Arabidopsis thaliana: one gene and its partners. The protein of the gene in region 1 purifies or fractionates together with the protein of each later gene. This does not show direct contact. Each region holds a gene or a part of one and is shown in the gene's direction. Other genes may lie near its edges.

Region 1 (3,506 bases):
TTGAGCAATCTACTTCATTTGCAGAAGCTGTGATCTCCTGAATTAGCTTCGCTGTCTTCTTTTGGTACCTACAACATGACCAGATGGCTTAAGTATCAGTTTCAGCTGCCAGGTGTATAATCAATTATATCTTCACAGATTAGTATTCTTAATAAAAGTGAGACAAGTTTTGGTAGAATCTCACATCCCATAAACGAACATAACCGCAGCCAAAATACAGCATATCACCAATGTGCACAGCCCAAGGGGCCAAGACAAAATTAGCAAATAAATCAATGCCCCTGTACCCTAAAAGAAAGAAGGTAAACATACATTCAGAAGTCAACCATGCAAAAAACACACTTCAGGCGAGATGGAAATTATATTGTAGCAGAGGACCTGAAGAACATTGCGAAATATCATGTTCAGATCATTTCCGATGACCCTCGAGACTTGCTGACAGTCTGAGCCAAGTCTGCTTGTTAAGTCACCAACAGTTTGAGAGTCGAAAAATGATATATCCTGATGCAAAATCCAGCCAAGTTAACGAAAGTAGCTAAAAAGATATTAAAGGTAAACATGAGCTACCAAGATTCAAAACAGCTAGAAACTTTCAGGACCTGGAAGAGAAGAGTGGAGTATAGTGTTTCCCTCATTCGTTTCACCTACAGAGTAGGGTGAGATCCCATCATATCATGTTCTGAGAAGGTAAGACTACTGAGTAGATTTAAGCAGAAAATAAAAAGGAACTCACAAGTATCATGTTAGCAATCCCAAAGAAGCATCCTCGTATGCCACTGAAATTATGAGTTGAACAAAGAGTCAGATGGAAATCCTTTTATAAAAGAATCTCAAAAACAACAAGTTGGTTAGACAGCAAGAGTAACTCTCTAATTCAACTTGAAACCAAATAAAACCAGAGACAAGTGTTTGATCATACAAGATCTTGACCTGCAAATGCCTGAAGTAACACATAACGTAACCAAGAGCTTGACATTTCGATGAAACACAGCGATATCACCACTTTGTGCCGAGAAGATCGAAGCTGTTAAAAAATGCGGAATAGTTATCTCTGAAAGCTGTAAACAAGTAAACAAAATGTATAAGAAAAGGACGATTCTGATTCCTCATTAGAACTAAGAATTTCTAAGTAGAGATTCAGAATACTTCTACAAATACATAACCAAGGAAGAACCACGCACCGCGGCTACTATAAGAGTGGAAAACGCAGCGAAGATAACCCAACGATCCTCAGCCACAAGTTCCCACATCCGACTTAACGCACGCCAAACAGTCACAGGCTTAGCAATGAACCTACCATCAACTTCATCGGAGAAACTCCACCAGCTTCCACCTGGTAAAATCGTCCGGAGGAAATCAATACATTGCCGGATTTTCTCAGCAAGTGAAACGTTATCTCCTTCTCCTTCGTAATATTCCGCAGTTTCCGCTACTGCTCCATTCACCGTCGAGCAATTAATCGAAGGCAGACGATAATTTCTAGTTGAAGATTGAAGAGAAAACGACAATCTCGGGTTTCTAACGAATCGGAGATTCTTCCTTCTGATAGTGTCACTGGTGGTAATAACAGAACACCGGTGAAGAGAAACGCGGATGGGGCGGCTCGTGCAGCCGAGTACTTGCTGAGCCATTTATGTTCGGTGGACTAAAGATGAAGAAGCTTCACGAGTCACGACGCTTCAAGCTTTTTCCTTGGTTCATATGAAATGCAGAAGAAGAATTAAAACGCGTCGTTTCGAAATTGAAGAAGAAAGACGTCACGTAAGGAAGAATCGTGTCAACCAAAATAAACCGAGGTGGAACCCACGGAGATCCACCACCGAAGGCATGAACCACATGGTAACAACAACAACACCGGCGCGTCAGAAAGGCGCGTGAAGGTTCAATCATGTGGTTGTGGTAGATGATCTCTCTTCCCCCTCTACGATATAATCGGGCCTAAAGGCCCATCTCGCGTTATAACTAAATAGCCCAAAATGTCGTAAACCCTAGAGGGTAAAATAGGAAACGTAAAAATCCTTATCGTCTTTATAAACTCAGTGATATCTTAAGAAACCCTAGCCGCAAAGAGAGAAAGGGAGGGAGGAGAGTGTAGCAGATCGGCGAAAATGACAACCAGATTCAAGAAGAACAGGAAGAAGAGAGGTCACGTCAGCGCCGGACATGGGCGTATCGGTAAGCACCGTAAGCATCCCGGAGGTCGTGGTAACGCTGGAGGTATGCATCACCACAGGATCCTCTTCGACAAGTACCATCCAGGTTACTTCGGTAAAGTTGGTATGAGGTATTTCCACAAGCTGAGGAACAAGTTCTTCTGCCCAATCGTTAACCTCGACAAGCTTTGGTCACTCGTCCCTGAAGATGTGAAGGCGAAATCAACCAAGGACAATGTTCCGTTGATCGATGTGACTCAACATGGTTTCTTCAAGGTTTTGGGTAAAGGTCATTTGCCTGAGAACAAGCCGTTCGTTGTGAAGGCGAAGCTTATTTCGAAGACTGCTGAGAAGAAGATTAAGGAAGCTGGTGGTGCTGTTGTGCTTACTGCTTAAGTTAGGTGAATTTATTTGCTTAACTCTGTTTTTGAATCTTCTATGGAGTTTTATCATCTTTTGTTGTCTTTTGGATTTTGGAAAGAGCGAGATCTCTTTAAAGTTAGTAGTTTTATGAACCTTTTGTTGGATTTTGATAAATGTTTGGTATTCCGAATTCAGACTTATAATTGCGTATGCTGGTTTAATTGTCTGTCATGATTCATTCGTTACGATCCTTTTAACTCGTTGTGATTGTTTCTACCATACATATGCATTGTTCTTGTTGAATTTTTAATTGGATGTTCGATTGTCATCAAAGTGAGAAGGTGTTGTTGCATTTGATTAGTTATATGTAACGTTGAAACAGCTAGAATGTGATTTTGCTTAGTAATGTATTTACGTAAATATGCGGAAATGCATTTCAAATTTCCCAATAGTACAGATTGTCACATAGATTTGAACGGAGTCAACATAGTCACATAGATTTGGACGAAAAAATAATGTGTTTGGATATTATACTGTATCCATCGTGTTTTTGATATTCTTCTATTTTGAACGGAGTTTTGAGATTCAAACTTTATTTTCAAGCAAGATCTGAAGAAATCGTTGAATTTTTCAAATGGTACGCTCAGTGTCGTGCTATGAGAAATGATATACCGTATGATATTTATCATATCGCATATGTTTGGGATAAGCTTGGTTTACATGTTATTCATATAAAGTTTGTGTTTTCAAATCATCATTACTTGTACACTACACCATGGAACATTTCAAACCCACAAAAGAAAACCAAAATCGAAACAATCTGTAATATTTATTATCCTACTGCAAACGCGGATTTACAATTTTGGTGGTATTGTGTGGATACAAATTTATCAGTCGCACCATTTGGATTAAAACATGAGTACGAACTAAAAGTAGAAATCTGAAATAAGGTTTTGTCATTGATACATTGTCAAATTGGAATTTAAGTTA
Region 2 (3,576 bases), 1.3 Mb from region 1:
TTACATCGGAGGTTAAGAGCGACTTTACAATGTCATCAACTACACCTTTAGTGTAGTGGAAGAAGTGGCCACTTCTCGGAACCTCATGATAGTGAACCCATGGAAGCTGATGAGCAAGGTAACGCTGCAGCTTCGCAGGTACTAACATGTCCTCATCTCCTTGCCACAAATGCACAGAGCCTTCCTTATTCAAAAACGGATTCTCGAGGTCTAAAGGACCAAATTCCCAGTTCCCAAAACCAACGATCATGTCACGGTTAATACTCTCATGTATTCCTTGCTGCCTTACCTCTGCCCAATGTGGTTTCCTCGAAGAACCAAGCTTCGAAATGATATCTTTATCCGGCTGTGCCAAGAGACTGTGATCTCGGTTTGCAATACTCGAACCAGGGAACCATTTTTGTGTGTTCCACCAATAGATAAGCCAAGGAGTATAGTGAGCAACACGAACTGCCAATTGATCTCTCTTTTGTTGAAAGTTAAAACCTTCAGTGGAAACGTTCAAAGGTAAGTTCTTCCAATAATAGTTAACCACTGGAGCAACTAGTGTTACTCCGGCTAACCTATGAGGAATGTATTTAAGACATCCCCATGCTGCTTGTCCTCCCATCGAGTACCCGAGCACATAAAATTTCGATCCTAGACTCAACTGATCAGCTAGCTCTTCAATATCCGAAACCAAGCTTCGCGGTGTACGACTTGGATGCGGATCACTCTCACAATAGCCCGGTCTGTCGAATGAAACCATATATACACCTAGTTCCTCTACTAAATCCTATAAAATGTATTGACACACTGTTAGAGGTCCCAATAAAAAACCGAAAACGTCACTCTCAAATAACTTTCTCACTAAACTTCTCTATACTACAAGGATTTTTAACAACACTACTTGCTACAAATTAACATGCCACTAACTAAATAAATGATTAAAACATAGTGATCAAAGTATTATTACATAACAACTATCTATCAAATCAACGATAGAAGCATATAGACATGCATAATCTTGATTGTGTAAAACTTACCGGAGAAAGCAGAGTGGCGAAAACGGCATCGTGTCTACAACAATCGGATCCATGGATGAAGACGATTTTGCGGTTAGCTTTCTCTCTTGGAAGTCCATGCTCTTTGTAAGCCAAATACCTCCCATCTTGAAGCTTTATCCGCGGCGCTGTGATCGGTGGACCACCGGAGGAGCCACATAGCTTCGGCGGAGGTGGTTTCAACTTGGACTGATAAGTAAACGCCACGATTATCCCAACAATGACAATCACAACAGAAGGAAAAAGAAATTTTTTTCGAGGCCATGGCTTTAATGAGCTGTTCCTTGATGAATCTCTCGTCATTTAAAAGAATGGGAAGTTGATCGGAGAGGCACGGAGGTCAACGGCGACGATTCTTGAAAAGAGAGCCAACTGTTCAAGAACTACAACATAGAGATCGTTTTTTTGTTGTTGTTTTGAGATAAAAATAGAGAAGCCCATTTTTATATGTTATTCATTATAGTAATGGCCCAAGATGCTTAATATACTAATGCCCCAATAGTGTTAAGGCCCATAAGCCCATATTAGGGCTTCTTCTTCGTTTTTCTCCCTCGAGTAGCAGCAGCAGCCTTTGGATATTCGGCGGAATCGAAAATGGTCAAGGGACGCCAAGGAGAACGAGTCAGGTCTTTCTTCTTCTATTTCTCTTTTCGTTCTTCTTCAAGTTTGATCTATATCACCAAGATGGTTTTCTATCGGTGTATCATTTGAGATTTGCTCTGTTTTCCTCACTTCTGAAACTGTTTTGCTACTATTGTTATTGTCTAGATTTGAGCTGATTCTTCATGGTTTAGTAATCTTGTAATCATCGATAATGCGAAAGTCTGATTCTTTTTATGTTATCTAATTTTGCAGACTCTACGTGAGGGGAACCATCCTCGGATACAAAAGGTGACCCATTTCTTTCATCGCTTTCGTTTTCCATTTTACACTGCTTATAGCTTATGATTGGACGCCAATAAGATTCCATGTAATGAACGTTGATTGGTATTTATGTAAGCCAATTTGACAGAAACGAGTCCTATAACCAAGCTTCTCGTCCACTTATGATCAGATTATGTGTCTGATGCTTTCACTAAATGGGAACATTTTGACTCTTGATTAGTTAGTTGTCTACATTTCTTAGGACACTTATCTGGCATTTTATTTTTGAGCTGCTTTGTATTTCTATTAATCAACACTGTTGTTAACTGAGTTCTGCTTTAATAACCTTGTCATGCTGAAAACCGAGACCTTACTGTTTGATACTTCCTCTGGTCTGACATTTACTATGGTGTGCAGGTCGAAGTCCAACCAGTATCCAAACACGTCCCTCGTCCAGATCGAAGGAGTTAACACTCAGGAGGAGGTAAACTGGTACAAGGGAAAGAGGATGGCTTACATCTACAAGGCTAAGACAAAGAAGAACGGTAGCCACTACCGCTGTATCTGGGGAAAGGTTACCAGGCCTCACGGTAACAGCGGTGTTGTCCGTGCCAAATTCACATCCAACCTTCCTCCCAAGTCCATGGTACTTAAACAGATTCTATAATCATCTTCTCTGTTTAGAAGTGAAATCTTTTGCTTGGGTTTTTAACAAGATATTATTCCTTATGTTCTTGCAGGGAAGCAGAGTGAGAGTCTTCATGTATCCGAGTAACATATGAAGCAATGCAAAAATGGCTTAAACTTATAATTTAGCCGCCTTGGTTTTGTTCACTAGTTTGTTATTTTGTATTTTGATATTGAAAGCATTTCCTTTCTTTGTTTGAAGTGTTTGGAGATTCTCTAAATTGACTTTGATCATGGATCCGGTTTTTCATCCCAAATTAGACTCCCTTTTCCCCTTTTATAACGAATTAAAACAGACGAATGGTAACATATTTTCTCAAATCACTATTACAACTTTATAATTAGTTCTTAGAAACACTTAAATTCTCAGAATCATCCATGGCATATGTTAATTGTTGAAGTCTGAAAATCGAAAATCACTCAAAATAATCAAAAAACAAGAGCTGATTGAAGTTGTAAACTGAAACATTTGAAACTCGATTTGTGATATCGGCCCTTAGGCCCATTAGACCTTTATTGGGCTTACCTAGGCTCAACTTTAGAATTTTCAATCAGAATTTTGTTCTCATGTAAACAAAAAAGTACCAACAAACCTAAGATTCGTTGAGAAGAGAGACCAGACAAGAACTCTGTGTCGACTGCCGTACTCTCGGAGTCGGAGCTTCGGTCCCGTTAAGACAGTAACAGAGAAAAACCCTAAACCCTCTTTTCACTTTGTTTGCTGTTCCGGTCATATCTCGCGACGATGAATACCTCCCAAGCAACTCGTGCGGCTCTGTTTCTAAACGTAAATATTCTCTTACTGCTATTCTTATCAGTGGTCCAAGTTTTGTGTCGATTGATCGATGAACTTATTTGATTCCGTTCTGTTGCTTAATCTTTTCATAGATTGATTATAAGGATGATTTCGAAAAGTACTTTATATTGAGAATTTGAAGTTCTGTTGATGTTGAATGCAGTAACTTAGGACTCTGATTTACTG
Region 3 (3,556 bases), about 24 Mb from region 1:
GACACTCTGTTAAAATTGGTCGAGTCAGTTTTATATCCTTTATGATGGATCCAAACAATAGTTGGTAGAGTCAGTTTATAAATCATCAATCTTTCCAACCAGTAGATTTCCAAGATTCTATCAAACTCAATGGATTCTCCCATACATAACAGTCACACTACATTGAAGGCATTGAACGGTGGGAATAAAACGAGTAATTTAAGACCAATACTTTAGATAGAGACGAAGAAAGCAATCAAAATGTAGTCAGAAGTCTGTTACAAACAGCAAACTTTAAAGAAGACACGATATAAATGAAAATACCTGAATGTGAAGATGTTAACGAGGCAGCTGAATCCCTTAGTCTCCTTACTTTCTCAGCAGCATCCAAAATGTCAGAATTATCTTCTGATTTTGGTTCAATAAGACTATCCTTCTTAAGGCTCAACAGGGCATTTTCAGACGCCTACGTAAAAACTCATCAAAATGTCATACCTCATAGTAAGAACAAGTCAAAATCAAAAGAAGCAAAGAACCTATCTGATCTGTACTTCCATGTGGGAACAGAAAAATGTAACAAATAACAAATTGCTATGTATCCAAAAAATTGAATAAATTGGTAAAGCAACAATTCCGATCATACAAGCATGAACTTGTTAACACAATTACAAAGTAAACTCACTTTCCAAGAAACATGTACAGAATCTCTAACCATTCCTCTTATGTGAATTTCTCCAACCATTCCCAAAAGCAACGAGATCATATACTACAGAAGGAAGAGTAATTTACCTTTCCTGCAATGGAAGGGAATCCATTTTCCATAGATTGGACTGCAAATTTGGTCCATTCTGAATGTGAAACCCCTAACCACAAACAGCTAGGAGACTTGAGCTGCCGCAAATTCAATGCCTCATACCTCATAGCCAAACAACTCTACTCAACATATAACAACCATATATACATACATTACAGAAAAGTTGAGTAAAGTGCACAAATCCATCTGCAAATCTTCACTCATAATCGAACAAGAAGCTGAAAGATAATTTCGAATTTATTCAAAATCGACAAGGACAGTATACGAACCTCCATATCACCGAGAAGAGCAAAAGCACGAGCGAAGAATTCAAGTACGGAGAGTTTTGCGACCATGGATTCTCCGGTGAGCTCACCGAATATAACAACCGATTCAGATCTCATGAAATCTCTCAATCGAGATCTAACTTCCAAAAACGATTTCACATTCATTGCAACCAGAGACAACTCGAGAATCCGAAGAGATTCTTCATCGAACCTGCACAATCAGTGAGAAGAAACCCTGTTCTAGCCACACACACAAGAGAAATTGAGAATCAGATGCTTCGGATGGATTGAAGAACCTTCTGTCTTGGACCCGATTGATAAAGAGATAAGTCTGATCAGCGATCATCGAATCTGAACATTTTTTCCAGAGAGAAATTTGAGCGGTGTTTCGAATTTTCAATGTGCCCTTTGATTTGAATTTTATGTTATGGCGCATCTTAATTGTTAATTTTGACGGCGCATTATAAGAACTCATTTAAGGACAACATAAGCAAGGGGCCGATAGCCTGACGAGTTGACATTCGGCCCATATGTAGATTTATAGGCCCATTAATATCAAATCGATGACGTTTACTTGCCATCTAATTACCTCCGCGACTGATAAGGATTCGCTTATTAGGTTTTTTTGAGTTTTCGTCTCCGTTTTCTGAAGGCAACTGCTAATTTCTTCCACCGGACGATTCGACAAAAATGGTGAAAGGACGCCAAGGAGAACGTGTCAGGTTGGTTATTCATCTTCTATGTTCTCTAATTCTGTATCTGCTAAAGCTTCACATTGCTCCTGAAATTAGCTGGCATCATTGGCGTTTTTACACTTTCTATGGATCTCGCTTTTAGCTTTTCTCAGCTGGATTTTGGATGTGTTTCAATCTCTGTGTACCAAATTATCTCAACTTTAGTCTTAATTAAGCTTTTGTCTCACTCAATTTTGTTTTTATGTGATGCAGACTCTATGTCAGGGGAACCATACTTGGCTACAAAAGGTGCGCATTGATACATGATTTGTTGTTGTTGTTTTCCACTTTAGTCGTTTTTGTTCTAGCTCCCATAAACAGTGAATCTTGGCTGATAATACTGGTTAATACACTTTTTTTATGACCTCAGTTTAGTTGCTTATAGGATTCAAAAGTTAGTTCCTGAGAAAGTAGACTCACTTGTCTTCGTCCGATCTTAGATTGTTGAATTTGGGAATAGGGTATACAAAATAAGGAGACTATCTTGATTTTGCTTGTTATAGTCACGAGCTCTACGTTTACCAATTGGCAATAAAGTTTTAGCGTATACACTTAAGCAAAACAATCTACCATTTAGTGTTGTTTCTGTTTTGGATCTTGTCAGAATGGTGTCCTTAAACACGTTTTGTGTGTAAATATGTACAGGTCGAAGTCAAACCAGTATCCCAACACGTCACTAGTCCAAGTCGAGGGAGTTAACACCACTGAGGAAGTGTCATGGTACAAAGGTAAAAGGATGGCTTACATCTACAAAGCCAAGACCAAGAAGAACGGTAGTCACTACCGATGCATTTGGGGCAAAGTCACAAGGCCTCACGGTAACAGTGGCGTTGTTCGAGCCAAATTCACATCAAACTTGCCTCCTAAATCAATGGTAATCCAAATCATTTCAGTTATATATGTTTGAAATTGTTGTTATCTCTTTCCTAGCTCTTCTAATACAGTTGGTTGATTGTTTTTTTGCAGGGATCTCGAGTTCGAGTGTTTATGTATCCGAGTAACATTTAAAGCAGTGTGTACTCGTCATCAAGTGGTTTATTATCTGCAAGCCTTTGTTTATGGACCTTGTTTATTATTTGACTCTTTATCCTGAACCTTTTTTGGAGTTAACAATTTTGGTTAAAATGAGCCTTTTTGATAAGTCGAGTTCACAAGTTTACCCAAATTTTGCAAAGCCTGAGCTTACTTTGTGTTGAACTATTGACGGTTACAGAATGAAAGTGAGACACGTGGCTTTCGAAGCTACACGTGTCTGTAATAAATTGGTACCATTGGGAATAGCAATTATCTAATTTCTCTCGGCTCTTTCATATTTATTGAATGTTCTTTGAAGAAGAAGAAGGCGACGACACAAAAACCTTGCATTTGCATCCATGGCGTCGATGCCGAGCAAACTTCTTCCAGTCCTAGTCTGCTACGTTTTTCTTTTCCCCTTTGCATCATCATCTGATTATTCTGGGGTATCTCTTCCATCTTCGTCGCCTAAAGTCTCGGTGGGCCTGTACTACGAGTCTCTCTGTCCCTACTGCTCTTCCTTCATTGTTAACCACCTCGCGAAGCTCTTCGAAGACGATCTCATATCAATCGTCGATCTCCATCTCTCTCCGTGGGGCAATACCAAGCTCCGTTCCGATAACGTCACTGCCGTTTGCCAGGTACTCCTTCGTTTTCTTCAATTTACGAATTCGATGTTTCCGATTCGATTGAATTAAGCTTCAATTTTGAGAAAATCACCCTTTCCTTAACTGAAATTTGATGTTGTT

The links.
Region 2: the proteins of AT1G70600 (region 1) and AT1G74270 fractionate together in Arabidopsis thaliana (co-fractionation; one large-scale study listed by BioGRID). This does not show direct contact.
Region 3: the proteins of AT1G70600 (region 1) and AT1G07070 fractionate together in Arabidopsis thaliana (co-fractionation; one large-scale study listed by BioGRID). This does not show direct contact.

Annotation. Positions count from the first base shown.
Region 1 is NC_003070.9:26,620,211-26,623,716, reverse strand, and holds AT1G70600 (Ribosomal protein L18e/L15 superfamily protein), read left to right. Parts: upstream 1-1,937; 5' UTR 1,938-2,108; coding exon 2,109-2,549; 3' UTR 2,550-2,896; downstream 2,897-3,506. Other genes in the region: ABCB26 (transporter associated with antigen processing protein 1), read right to left, coding at 14-68, 185-288, 379-501, 600-644, 734-776, 931-1,058, 1,182-1,631.
Region 2 is NC_003070.9:27,927,528-27,931,103, reverse strand, and holds AT1G74270 (Ribosomal protein L35Ae family protein), read left to right. Parts: upstream 1-1,566; 5' UTR 1,567-1,637; coding exon 1,638-1,669; intron 1,670-1,898; coding exon 1,899-1,934; intron 1,935-2,324; coding exon 2,325-2,553; intron 2,554-2,647; coding exon 2,648-2,689; 3' UTR 2,690-2,933; downstream 2,934-3,576. Other genes in the region: AT1G74280 (alpha/beta-Hydrolases superfamily protein), read right to left, coding at 1-775, 1,026-1,346; PUR4 (purine biosynthesis 4), read left to right, coding at 3,340-3,381.
Region 3 is NC_003070.9:2,166,903-2,170,458, forward strand, and holds AT1G07070 (Ribosomal protein L35Ae family protein), read left to right. Parts: upstream 1-1,658; 5' UTR 1,659-1,749; coding exon 1,750-1,781; intron 1,782-2,006; coding exon 2,007-2,042; intron 2,043-2,438; coding exon 2,439-2,667; intron 2,668-2,759; coding exon 2,760-2,801; 3' UTR 2,802-3,055; downstream 3,056-3,556. Other genes in the region: DFO (uncharacterized protein), read right to left, coding at 304-445, 769-912, 1,063-1,270, 1,356-1,495; AT1G07080 (Thioredoxin superfamily protein), read left to right, coding at 3,167-3,448.